2 linked regions of the Astyanax mexicanus genome follow. The main gene of each other region encodes a partner of the protein of the gene in region 2 in a complex. Links are inferred from orthologs where the notes say so. Each region holds a gene or a part of one and is shown on either strand. Other genes may lie near its edges.

Region 1 (7,208 bases), on a different chromosome or scaffold from region 2:
ATATGTTATTATTAATAATTAATGACATTCATCTATGTGAAGACACAGATATCAATAGGCAACACTATTATTATAAATCTCTGCAAGTGTTTACATTTTATATTATATTTTAATATAATATTACATATTATATTACATTATATTGTATAATAATATATAAACTATAGGCTCTAAGCTAATATTAATGTAATATAATCTAAAATTACATCAATGCAACTGTGATTTAAAAAAAAAAGAATAGCAACAAAAATGCTATTTTTAGACCAGGCCTGCGGGCTACTCATAAGGTCCTTGCGGGCTACCTGGTGCCCGCGGGCACCATGTTGGTGACCCCTGCTCTACACACAAAGATATGGTGTAGAACCATTTAAACCATCAAAGAACCTTTCAGCTAAAACAGCATCAAACAGCATTTGTATTAAATTTGTCCTAAGATTAAAATCTTTGCTCAGAGAAAATAATAAAACCTTCAAATACAGATTTAAATACATAAGAATATGTTAAAATCCATAATGTTTCTATTGCACAAATAAAATCAACCTACATGAACCAAATCAGTAATTACACTAATTAGGGATGTACCAATGTGGGAAATTCTACGCTAATGCAAATATATGAAATTACACATTTATATATATATATATATATATATATATATATATATATATATATATTTATATTTATATATATATATATATATATATATATATATATATATATATATATATATTTATATATATATTTGTCGATGTCAAGGTACACATTTCTAAACTACAGAAAGACAACATACACCAGTATCACTTTATAACTTTAAAACTAATACAAATAAATGCAAACTAGCTAGTGCTAGTAGTGCAGCTAGTGACACTTGGTCCTTTTTTGCCATACAACAAATACATCAGCAAGTATTGTTTGAAATATCGTCCAAATTGTCTGATGCCAATGATTCTAAGAGATAATCAGCCGATAGCGATAAAATTCCAATATCATTGTGCATCCCTACTATTAACCCCTCAGGTGATCACCAGTATATGTGACCAGAGGACTGATACTGGGATTGTGATATTAGTGTACTTGTACTTACATGAGGTCAAAGACCACGCCTTCAGGGGTGCACATGGGATACTCAAAGGGCTGAAGAGACAAACTGAAAGAACACAAAGACCCAAACACAAGTGAGAACAGGAAACAATATATATATCCTGATTTAGACCCCACAGGATGAAAAGATATCAAATATAGCATAAAGTAATATAATATAAATTATTTTGTTCTAATACAGATCTTCCCCTAAAACGTGTTAATTCCTAGTGCAAAGACATTTGCAAAGCTTTATTACTAATAGACATGTCAATGCAAAATTTAAAATGCAAATTTATATACAGGCATATTTTGTATTTGTATAGTGGGGTTAGTTTATATAGAATCGAGGAATAGTGCTTAAGGTCAGGCTACTGGAGTGAAAAGCGACGGCTGGCTGCCTCTGAATAATTTACTGAAATGTCCTCTACTAGATTCTGCTGATCCGGTAGCCATGTGCATCCAAAAGCTATTCAGCCAAAAGCTATTCAGCAATAAATGACTGTAATTGTTAATAAAAGGACTGTAACTTTTAATAAAAGATCTGTAATTGTTAAGAAGTCTGATATCAAAAGTAGCAATAAATGAAACACACACACAAACACAGACACACCTATCTGTACAACTCACCTGCAGTGATCAAAGGGTAATCGTCTGAAATTAGCCTGTGGGATTTCTGCAGATAAAAGAAAGATCGCACTAAGTGTTAATAATAAAAAAAAAAAAGTAAAAAGGAAAAGAATGTATTGCCATGCTCCAAAAATACACACCTGCTTTCTTGCCTCCATAGAAATGTGTGTACTCTGCACAGGTGATGTACCTGAAAAATAGGAATAGTAGGAATAAAATGAGCAGCACTATTCACCACTCTTCATGAGTGAGCAGAAAGTCATATGTACCATTTATAACAAATAAACTTTGAGATTTAGACTGTAATTTGATTAGTTAAAGCTTAACACTGACATATTAAAAATCTAATTCTTACACATAAAATCAGGAAGGTCGTTGTTTATTGTCCACTAAACAGGCATAATCTCAATAATCTCTGATTAACTTAGTATTGTCCACTCAATTTGTTGACTTTATTAATATTTTAGCTTTTTTCAAAATAAATAACATCTTGCTTAAACAGCTGTGTCAATCAATCCATCATATTTATCAATTAATCAACATCTATTTTACACTGAGGGTGACCCTCGTTTTTAGCTGCCGAGCAAATAGATTAACAGGGATTGACAAGAAAAATAACAAACAAACAAACTAAACGCAACAACAACAAATACACAGCTAATGTACTCAAAGAAAAAGTTAGGTTGAAAAGATACATTCTGTTTTTTAAAGAAGCCAAATGAAAAAGAAAAGAAACTAAAGTGACGCTAAAACAAAATATTAAATAATATATATTTTAAATAATACAAATAATAACAATAATAATACCATTAAAAATAAATAGCAAATATAAACAAACAAGCATATAAACAAATTTGACAAAATATGAATTAAATATCAAGCCTATTGTCTGATTTAATATTTACTAAAACAGTTTATTTAATGATGTTTATCTAACGTTAAATTATTATAAATGATGCAGAGTAACGTTAAATTGAGAGAAAACAGATACAGTACTATCCTAGGAAAAGAGAAACATGGTTATATACATATTTTAACTAAGTTTCAGCTGTTTTATTAAATATTAAACTGAATCCTGATATTTATAGAGTTTTAAGAGTTCAGATTAACCCAGTTAGCTGTTAGGCTGAACCAGCGCAGCTAGTTTAATTCGATGAATAAAACGGATTTAATCCGGATTAATGCAGACTTACATCTTGTCCTTTTGGTGCTGCCGCTTCCCCATTGTTGTTTAATGTGTAAACAGCTCCCAAAGAGAATACACCGATAATTTACACCTAAAAACACACAGTTACAGCGCTATTAGCTTAGCTAACCTAGCTAACTGCTATAGCTACGGGTCCGGGCTAAGCGCTGTACTACAGTAACATTAGTCCGGGTTAAACACAGGAAGGCGCTTTTTGTGTCCCACTACCTTTTTGTGTTCTTTTAGGGTCCTTTGGAAATAAATAATAATATAACAATAAAAAGTCAATAATTAAATAAAAAAGTAAGTAATAACAATAATAATAATAATAATAATAATAATAATAATAATAATAATAATAATAATAAATACTATTATTATAAGCTCATGTTTGCCATCCAAATAATATTTATATTTTATTTTATTTAGCCATTTTTACTTCATTTTTACACATTTCAGAAGGTGTTTCTCTGGTTTGCCCAGTCCACCCCCATATATATATATATATATATATATATATATATATATATATATATATATATATATATATATATATATATATATATATATATCATTGTTCACTGTTCTGGATTATCGTTATTACTAATATTAGAGTACAATTGATTCTATTAAAATAATAATAACTATATATATTGTGAATGTGCTGTGTGTAAAGTGTGTAAATGCTGCATTAAAGAGTGCAGTAAAACCATCTGTTCCAATACTGCTTTACTATTATATAAAAAATAGTTCATAAACAGTGCCAGTCAGACGTTTTATTGTCTTCTCATTCACTGTGTGTTTTTCATTATTATAAATTTAATATTGAAGACCTAAAGATATGCAGGAGCACATTTTGAATTTTTCTTTAAACAAAAAAAAATCTTCCTATCACCAAAAAACAGAAAAAAAAATATTAATTTAAAAATGTTTGTAGTTCATATGATGTTGAGTTATCCATCCAGCAGGTGGCGCTATTACACTGTGGACAAAATTCACACTCCCTGCCTCTGCATTTCTATTGGCCCACATGTCCAACAGGCCTTTTGCCTTTAAATCATTGATTTATTAATTCATCAGCAAAGATTCATAGATAAATTCACCCCATGTCTAAAAGTTAGTAGACACGTGCTCCAAAAACAAAGGCTTCACTAGTAGCACTTGATGCTTGATTATTCTGGATTAATCTTATTGATTAATCTTATTGATTAATCTTATTTAGAAGATACTGGATCAAATCTTGATCACATCCAAAGTCAAACCTTTGCACATGGCTGGATTCATGTGGAAGGCCCCATGAGTGGCATCTGTCTAATGGTAATGATATTCTGCTAATAAAGGGATAATATTAATATCGTCGCTGTCCAATGAAAAACAAGTATCTTTATTTTTGTTGATTTTAGTTTACCACATAGTTTTAACACACAAACATTCCCTTACAATGTGCCAAAATGTCTTGATAAATGGACAAATAGAAATACTTAAAAATGATTTGAAATAAAGTATTTTTACATTGACCTCCATTGAGTTAAGAAGGTTTTTTCTCTCTTCTGTAAAGATGATGTTTTGGGGAAACTTGTTTTTCATTGGACAGTGACGATATTCAATATAGGTGTTCAGTGCTGCTTTGTCAGCTATGGACTTACCTTCAGATAATCCAGTATTGAGAGAGAAGTTGATCCTTCTGTTTATTAAATATACTGCTACAATTATAAGACCATATTCGGATAGTATGATGGTGATGATGAGGATGATGACACTGGCAGATGCATGAATATTATATTTGTTGTACTTTTTCTCACATTTTTTTGGTTTACGATCAAGTGACTCTTCGTTCCCTCCTCTCTGAGAGTGTTCCATTATTTTTGTCCACTAGTGCGGCACCCTTAAATTATAAATGTGCATTAAACTACACTATTAAACAGTGAACAACAATACAGATATATTCTACTAACAGCTAATGACAGGTTCTGTATCAATAGCTGGGTCATTAAATGACACTGAAGACCGAAATGTACTTTAGTGAGACACTAAAAAGGTCCACAGGTGTGACAATTACGCTATCACACCAAAACAAAGATATTACACAAGAGGACACGTTGTTTTATGATTTTAAATAATGAAATAACATTTGTTTATTTGTTCGTCACTTTTATTCCTTTTTCATGAAATTAATTTTCTTAAATTCATCATTTGTGAAGAAAATGTGTATAATATAAAGTACAAAAAGACCCAGAAAGCAAAAATAATAGAAAAAAAAATCCTTAAAAATGCAGAATGGTCAGTGTATGGTACTCTATATTTTTTCCAGCAATGTCCATTGGTGTGACACTTGTCCTGTCGCACAAGAGGAAAAAGAGGCTACACAAGAGGACAATGTATTCTTTACAATGAATTTAAGTAAGTGAATTTGAATTTATTTATTTGTCTATTCCTTTGTGAAAAAATTACATTTAAATTATGCTAAAATAGGCCTTAAATTATGTTATTTTGGAACCACTAATTCGTACTTAATTACTACTTATTTGTAATTAAAATTAGATAGATTTGCACTAAATTCATACTTAGTATATTATTGATACTATATGTTATTTTCACCACTGTTTAATATAATTTAAGTATATTTGTGTGAGCTGTCCAACTGAATATTAAGAACAATAAAAGAGTGATTAAAGTATAGATTTAACATCACATTCATTTTTTAGGAGTAAAACAAAACAAATAGCAAGATATTTAACTTATACACAACTAAAGTAATGTTTTAAAGTCTTATTTTGACACACAAAAGGTTCATCAGCTCAGTAATAATAATTAATTTGTCTGAGCAACATAAATTAATGTTTTGCTAGCAAATTTCACTAAAGTACAGGTTTTAACTGGTTCGAATCCTGGTCATTCAGCTTGCCATCAGCTGCTGGATCTCCAAGAGCTCAATTGGCCTTGCTCTCTCTCTGGGTGGGTACAGTAGATGGAGCTCTTTTCCCTCATCACTCCTAGGGTGATGTCGATCAGCACAAGGCAGCATCTGTGAGCTGATGTATCAGAACCGAGTCGCTGCGCTTTCCTCCGAGTGCACTGTGATGCTACTCGGCAATACTGCATCATAAAAGAGGTAGAGTCTGACTCCATAGAAATAAAATGGTTTAGAACTGCACAAATGATCTATGATTGTAAAAAATTAAAGTAGAAAATGTGATATTTTCTTAATATTTGGGAAGTAAGAAGAAAATTGAGGATAATGATGATGGTGATGATGATAAGGACGACACAGACAGACTGATGAATGTTAGTTTGTTTTATTTATTGCTGTATTACTATAGTCTCACATTTGGTTTGTGCCTCCTTCAGAACAGCTGACTCTTCCTGCGCTGAGCTCCGAGCCGTGCTGCACTTTACCTGTGATTCAGTGCAGCTCTGCTCTCTGGGTGTAACCGATGAACATATAAGCAGCAGCTGCTGATACAACAAACAGGACAGGAATACACGGTATCCCAGCGCCCCCAGTATGCTTCCACTCCAGCCAGTAAGAGTCAGTGAGAGAACATTACTGATACGGTATTGGCAGCGAGCAACAAAGAAGGCCAAAAAAAAAACAAAAAACAAAGACTTCAGATAAGAAGATGAGGTTGTGTAGCAAAGTGTCATTGATTTGGTTTTCGTGATTGACTCGAGCACCAGTTCACTGTTCTGTACGCTGCTGGGATGCGGCCAGTGCTTGAAGTGGGAGGGTATTTAAAGGAGAACTCTGGTGTAAAATGGACTTTTGTTGTAGTAAAACATGATAAAAAGTTCTTACCTTTGTTGAATAGCCCACCACCGCTCTCCTACAGCTTTTTAAGATCCAGTAATTTTTTACTTTTTGCCCAGCACTCTGTAAAACGGCCGTACCTGGCATATTTTGCCCCAATAAATCACTTTTTTTCACCGTTATCCAGGCTCAAAGTAGCTCCACACCTCATTGATAGAATCTGGAGAGCCCTAACATTTAAAACGAGGCATTAAGGACATTAAGTTATAAGAAACTGCTACAACAGGAGGCAGGCTATGCGAGATCTATGTATATATGTCTATGACATTATCAGTACAAAGATGGTGGCGCCCAGAGATTTACCTGCACTATGAGATGTAAACAGTATTTTTTAATAAGCTTCTTGTGCACTTTTAAAGTTTTTAATGCCTCAATTTAAAGTCAGAGCTCTCCAGATTCTACTAAGGAGGTGTGGAGCTACATTGAGACTGGATAACGGTGTAAAATATGCCCCTATAAGGCCGTTGTACAGAGTGCTGGGCAAAAAGTACAAAATTACTGGAT
Region 2 (7,557 bases):
GGGTGGCAGACCTGGAATCTATAAGGTGAGAGAAGGAAGACGTTAATTCACTGACATGAGCAAAAATCATAAGATCAAAAGACCAGAAAACTTAGATCTCAGGTATTCAGCAGGGCTGAAATGACCTCCTAATCATTTTTTGTAAAAAAAATTGCTTAATAACTGTACAATTAATGTATATATAATAAATGTTTTGTTTAAATCCTCTCAAGCTTTATTTTAGTAAAAAGATTCAGGGTCTCTGGTTCTGGGTGAAAACTGGATCTGAAACTGTGAAAACTGAGTGTCTACCTCTACATTTAATTTATTTTCCATAATTCACATCACATGATGATATAAACATAATAAATAAGAGGGCTTACCGTGGGCATGCCTTTGTCATCTCCACCAGGTATGTTGGGCTTATTCAACATGATTCCAGTCTGAGGGGAAAAAAACACTTGTGATAAAGCGCATTCATATCCAGCAAGGACAGAACGAAACTTTATGGGTAGTGTAGGGCGAGCGCTCAGAAGCAGGGCCAGTAACCATGGCAACAAGGAGGTACAGTTTATCCGACACCGTTTATTTACACACCAACACTAATATTTACAAATTTACAGGCGTACGTACTTGACGAGAAAAGAAAACGAAAAGTAAACAAACACAAAATAATCTCTTCACGCAGAGAATAAGGTCTATCTCCTATACAGTCGTATAGAGCTTCTTTTCATGGCTGATATCCCGAACTATCTGCCCCCCCCTTACTCATAGATCCAGTACACCTTTTATACCATTAACCCCTCCCATGAACATACCATTTCTCACACGGGTAGAACCGGGTAATGATACACCAAGTACATGGTACTATGATATAATAAGAACAACAATATTAATAATAATAATAATAATAATAGTAGCAAACTCTAATCAGTTTGTAAGTGCTGAAATCTGTACGAGTTTCAATGTACATATAAAATACACATTCACATTTCTTCCCTTTCTTTTACAGGTACACACTCCCCCTCTCTTCTGCAAGGATGGACTCACCCAGGTAAGTAAAAGGTTTTGAGTTACGTGTAGTACCCTTTTGTCTCAACAGGCTGAGCATGAGTGTACACAGGTAAGTGATATAGTCTTTATGGTGATGAAGAGGGGTATAGCCTACTTCATCACAACACTCAAGCTCAAAATAACAGTGGAAAAAAAAAGGTACAAACAGTGAAACCAAATTATTTACTTTACAAGTCTCTTACCTGCATCATGTAATTTTTCAACCTGTCTATTAACTCTTCTCTAGGGCCTGAGAAAAAAGAATAAACAGAAAATACTGTATTAAACAACTGCACTGTTTTGTTTGCCATGCATTACTCTCATATGCATACATTACACACAGGAAATTCAACAAATGTGAATAATAATTGTGACTTCTCTAATTGCACAACTTTACATTGTACTTCACTCTATTGTACATTTAGCATTTCGCAAAACATCAAGCTTACCTCTAACATTACATGTTCACATTGTACTTTCTACTTTCTGTATTTTATTGATTTACAGTTATATTCTGTGTATTTTTTTTTGGTAACTAAGCTCATTATTTAAACTTATCTCTCAGTAGTAAGAGAGCTTCTACTCTAAAAACTCCAGATCACAACAGAACAGATGACACACTTAAACTATTTTTCGTAAAATGATTTGTATGCATTCTAATTTTAGTGATTTGCTGGAGATTTTAAACAACATAAGGAGTCTCTGCTGGACTAGACAAATATCCATATCAAATATCCAATCAACAGCACCATGTGGACACTGATGAAGGACTCAAGGATGACCTAACAGTGCATCAACAGATTTAGAGCCTCCGTCTCTGATTTTACGTCTACAAGGTGGAAGAACTAGGTAGGAGTTCCTAATAGACTGAACAGTGTTTAAAAACGTCAGCAGCACTGCTGTTTCGGACCAATTGTAGCAGACCTGTGGAGTCCTGACCATTTGAATAAACAGGGTAAAAGGAAGACAGTGAAGTCTACAGAGAAACAGATACAGGACTCTACTATGTAATTATTAGTGTACATATTGCACCTTTATGCTTAGTGTAGCTGATAAGATAAAAACACATTTATTGAAGATTACATGAATATATTTATTAGCTCTGTGGCAGGATCTCCTCCACCAGTCTTACACACTGCTTTTGGGTAATTTTTTGCCACTCCTGGTGCAAAAAATCAATCAGTTCAGCTTGGTTTGATGGCTTATGATTACCCATTTTCCTTCCTTATATTCCAGGGGCTTTCAATTTAGTAAAATCAAAGAAAATCATCATTTTCAAATTGTCTGATTTTCCAGAGCTGTATGCAGTATTGACACATAGACCAACTGACTTGTATTGATAAACACATGTCTGACATTTATACACAAGAATAAGAAAGTAGTCATGAAATAAGAGGTTTAGCAATATGACGGGCTTGGGTTGTGTGCGTTTTACTTAGGACACAACATTTACCACAACAGCTAACAGTTAGCTAGCTAACTAGTTTCCCAGTTCATTGATAGCTACAGAACCAACATGGCGCAGCTACACGCAACTTTACTCGTTTTAAATCAGTTTAACGTGCTAATAAACTCGATTAAACAGCCTTAATATCTTTACACACATCATGAGAACCCGCTCGCAGCAATGACCCACAATAAACACTAAACACCAAGCTAATAACTAAGTTACTGTTTCAAACAACCGGCATCAGAAGCAGTTAGCTTAGCTTCCAGATTAGCATGCGTGCTAATTAGCTTAGCTTAGTTTAGTTTAGCTGTCTCCCCCGGCCCGCTGCAGACGCCTCTCCCCGGGTTAACTCACCCATTACCGGCGCCCCGATCTCCGCCAGCTTGGCCTGTAGCTCAGCGTGGCTCCATGTGTTGAGCGCCGCGGCGGAGGCGCCCAGCTCCGGGCTGGTCTCGGCTCCCGGGGGTCCGTCGCTAGACATTTTCACACAACCGCGTTCAACAGCACCGCCGCGCAGACTCGACGCAGCAGGCACTGCGCATGCGTGCTTGAATAAAGGCCGGCGGGCCACTGCGCAGAAGCGTTGATCTATATCTCATGTACACCTCAGAGTTTGTGGTTCGGAGTGTTTATAGATCAGCGCATCCGCTCTACAGAGCTGTGTCCCACCGGAACAGGACAGCAGGATTTTAAAACTGTGCACATGCGTTCCCACTCATACAGTAGCCCAGTGTAAACACGCTGAACACACAAGAACAAGAGCAGAACATTATACAGGGTCATAGAAAAGTGTGATCATTTATTCAGTGCCTTTGTAGCAAAATTTCATTCAATTATACACAACCATAGTACATTTTAATACATTCACCGTGGCATAGTATATATTAGTAAATTCTACAGTAGTAATTTATAGTAAGTTCTGCAGTGCTACATTATATTTTAGTAAATTATTCAGTGATATTTTAGTAAATTATGCAGTGCTACATTAGATTTTAGTAAATTCTGCAGTGCCATGGTAAATTTTATTAAATGATACAGTACCATAGTACATTTTAGTAAGTTCTACAGTGCAACAGTACATTTTAGTAACTTCTACAGTGCTATAGTACATTATAGTAAATTCTACAGCACAGTAGTACATTTTTAGTAAGTTCTACAGTGCGATAGTATATTTTAGTAAATTCTCCACAGTGCTGTAGTACATTTAAGTAAATTCTACGGTGCCATAGTTCATTTAAGTTAGTAGTTTTAATTATAGTAAATGTTAGTTTATTCTACAGTGACATTAATGTAGTATTTTTTTAAAATGACGTAGTACATTCTGTTACTATTACATTAATAAAATTCTGTTGCATCGCTGCAGTAAATTCGCATAATATGTGCATTGGCGTATTGAAGCCAGAAGGAGGTAGCATTTTAACGATTTTACTCAGATGTAGCACTGAATAAAGTATAGAACTGAGAGCAGATTACTAATCTATAATATTTTATTCAGTACTATTCTATAACAACTATACTATTTAATTAAATTTATAACTTTTTATGTTATTCTATTCTAAAAAAAAATCTTACGATATTACTATTTCATTGTATTCTGTACTATACAATTCTATAATACACTGTAAATTACTTTAGTATATATCACATATAAAGCTATTGAAATGTATTCCGCCCTTTTAAGAAAAAGCCCTTTGACATCATAACCTTTATACTATTTTATTTTCAGTAAGAAGAAACTCTTTCTGCTGCACGTTCATAAAATGAATAATAATTTCACTGAATATTCCTCATATTGTCTCAAAAATATGTCTTAGAAAAATTATTTATATGAAAATTTTCTTTTTGTAGTTGTATTAATTTAGGTTTAGGTAATTAATCATTTCATATTTTTTTTTCATTACATACTGTTTTGTTCTATATTGTGTGATGCTATACAATATCTATATTTATATCTATATCAATATTTAACGCTCATCGTGTGAATTCAGGATGGAATGGATGGATTTACACAGTGATGGATTGCCTTTACACTGGGGCACGTCTCCCTTGTATGTCTTATAGGATTAATAGTTATTAAGGTTATTGGTCTTATTTAACTATAATTTCTTCTATTTACGTAGTAGTAACATACTATTCAAATAACTGTATCTTCATTATAATTAACATAATTTGATGTAATGTTTATATTAGTGGATATGGGTCTGAAGTTTTTAAGTTTTGAACAGACATGAAAATAAAGGAAACATGTGTCACAGCCCATTTCATCTACCAGCCAATCACGGAATAGGGGGCGGGGTGTATCGGAATGCGGTTGTTGGAGGGCGGGGCGTGCCTAAATGCAGTGGTCGAAGGGCGGGGCGTGCCTGAATACGGGTGTGGGAGGGCGGGGCGTGCCTGAATACGGGTGTGGGAGGGCGGGGCGTGCCTGAAAACAGGTGGGTTCAGCGTTGTTTCTGATGGTAGCAAATCTTTAGGAAGGTCCTCTGCCCTCAGTACAGATGGGGGCATGAACCAGCGCTGAACATTTCTATACAAAAACGCCTTTAATTCACCGAAGTGCTCCGAGGAAAGGCAGGTAAGCAGTTTATCTAACAGTGTCCGTGTTTTTATGGGAAGTTTGTGGACAGGGAGTCTGGTTTAGCGTGTTTTCAGTGAGAGCGTGCTGATTAGCTGCTCTGAAAGTAATGCTGCAGCTAACCTAACCTAAACTAACATAGTGTTTTTTTGCTTTCTGAGCTGGATATAGTAAATATAGGCTTATTTATTGGCGTGTTTTGGTCCTTTTATCTATTAACATGAGTTTTCTGAAGCTAATCTTATGTTTGTTTGTTAAGCTAGTTATTGTTTAGACTAGAGCTTTTTAAGTGTAGAGTTGTAATAATAATAATAATAATAATATTTTTGTTTGTTATGGATTTTTTGTTTTGTTTTAATAAGCTATGCAGCTTTTTATCCAGTCTAAAAACTTGCACATCTTTAAGAGCTTTATCTCTGTTTAAATGTGTTTTTTTTTTTTTTTTGAGCGTGAGCTCTTGTGGTCTCTATAAAGGAAGTGAAGAAAACACTGCCTCTGTTTTGAGCATGTCTTTAACTCAGGCCCTGCCACATCCATGCCGCCTTTATCTCTGCCCGGCAGGCCTGACTCTCAGAGATATGGACATTTAAACACCGTATGAAACCGCTGTAATGCTGCCAGAGCAGACAAATACTATATTAGTGTATTAGTGGCCTGATTGGCCTCAACACAATACAATAAACACATTAGTCAAGGCACCACCCTTCTCCTGTACATGCTTCAGTGCCCCACAGTTGCAACATGACCTCTTTACACACTGTTTATCTCTTTATATATTGGTTTATCTCTCTATATATCTGTTTATCTCTCTATAAATATATTTTAATTTCATAGTTTTCAGGATTGGTAGGAAGTACGCCTATGTGGTGTTTCCTTATGAACTAGCTAACCTGGAACAGTTGGTGTCAGTGTATGTAAAAGGTGTAGAGGAACTCCTGCCTTTACCTCATACTCTCTAATCTTATTGCTGGGGAGTTCCCTCAGTTTAAGAATCAGTTTTCTCAATTTAACAATCCATTCCATAACGTTACATTTATTAAATCATTGTCTCACTTTATATGGAATTGATTTAGGTATACTTAAGGAACAGTTTATTTAAATGAGTAAACTGATTTCTTAAATAGAAGTAATGATTAATAAAATGTCAGGATCTGTCAACTCCTTAAAATTATGTTTCCTGCTTGATATTTTCAGCCATTACTCATTGCACATTATTACAAAAGAATGTGACCTCCTCATTAGGGGATTAGAGAATTTGCTTTAGGCCATGTTACATTTAGAATATTGAACATTTGAACAATTAGGGATAAGGAAGCTTCATGCTGGTCCAGGGGATTAAACTGGTTACAATAAAATAGCTAATTAAGTAGGTAAATATGCTTGGTTACCCAAATAATAATGTCATTCCATAAAGTCAGACCTCCCCCTTAAACCTTTAGGTCATTTGCTGCAAATAAATAGTATATTTATTGTTATTGTGATATAAGTTTTAACAGACCTATTAAAAGAACTGCTACAATATCGCAAATAACAGCAAATCCAAATAGTATTACCTGCATGCAGCCGCAGAGGGATGTTTTAGTGCAGTACAGACTGTGCTCGTGTGACATAACAAGGCTGGAGGTAGAGTGGGGTCTATAATGAACACACACACACCACACTACATCTTAGCCTGGAAAAAAATAATGCAGCTACCAAGGGTGGGCGATATGGCTCTAAAATAATATCACAATATTTCATGGTATTTTCACGATAATGATACTTTTGGCGATATGTCAAAACACTGAATTAGAAAAATTATTTACAATTTTATTACTGCATGCAATATGATATGGCTAACTGAGATATAAAAAAAAAGAATTTTATCAGATTTGTTACAGAATGATTCAGAATGTCATGATACTAATAATGCACTCCAAATATCTCCATATATCCAGGATTAAAGTTATATGATCTGTCTCTAGTAGATAAATAATGGGAAATGAGAACAGTGTAAATTTTTCTTTTGGTAAAAACGGCAAAAAAGTAGTACTCTGTTGTGATAATTAGGGGTGAGTGATATGGCACGATATTTCAGGGTATAATATCGTTCACGATATTCAAACTTTTTGCGATATTATCACGTACGATACGATATGGCACACCCCTAGCAGCTACGCCAAGTACCAAAACTTAAACTAATATAGGATCTTTATTTGTCGTGCTTCACATCAATAATCTTATATCCAATAGCATTAGCATGCAATACGTTTTTCCCTTACTGTACACCATAATTTTTCAAATTCCAAAAGACTGCAAATGTCAGTAGTTAAGATGTAAACAAAAGAAAAAAGATTGGTTCATTGTAGTACAATGGTACAGTAAAGTATTTGTATAGCAGTGGTAATAAGAAGCACAGGGGTTGCAATAAATAAAACACAAACAATAAAACATTTAAACTGTGAACATGAGTTTTCTGAGCTTTTATAATATAGGGTTAATCAGATCTGTCAACCCTGCT

What was found.
Region 1: sf3b2 (region 2) and ppil2 share a complex: the UniProt entries of both Homo sapiens proteins name them as parts of the minor spliceosome. The link is inferred for Astyanax mexicanus from reciprocal best matches to the Homo sapiens genes SF3B2 and PPIL2.

The regions. Positions count from the first base shown.
Region 1 is NC_064429.1:31,212,596-31,219,803, forward strand, and holds the start of ppil2 (RING-type E3 ubiquitin-protein ligase PPIL2), read right to left. Parts: upstream 3,084-7,208; 5' UTR 2,936-3,083; coding exon 2,904-2,935; intron 1,901-2,903; coding exon 1,851-1,900; intron 1,757-1,850; coding exon 1,711-1,756; intron 1,148-1,710; coding exon 1,085-1,147; intron 1-1,084. UniProt on the Homo sapiens protein: Has a ubiquitin-protein ligase activity acting as an E3 ubiquitin protein ligase or as an ubiquitin-ubiquitin ligase promoting elongation of ubiquitin chains on substrates.
Region 2 is NC_064415.1:13,364,264-13,371,820, reverse strand, and holds the start of sf3b2 (splicing factor 3B subunit 2), read right to left. Parts: upstream 3,018-7,557; 5' UTR 2,964-3,017; coding exon 2,837-2,963; intron 1,283-2,836; coding exon 1,236-1,282; intron 423-1,235; coding exon 363-422; intron 19-362; coding exon 1-18. UniProt on the Homo sapiens protein: Component of the 17S U2 SnRNP complex of the spliceosome, a large ribonucleoprotein complex that removes introns from transcribed pre-mRNAs.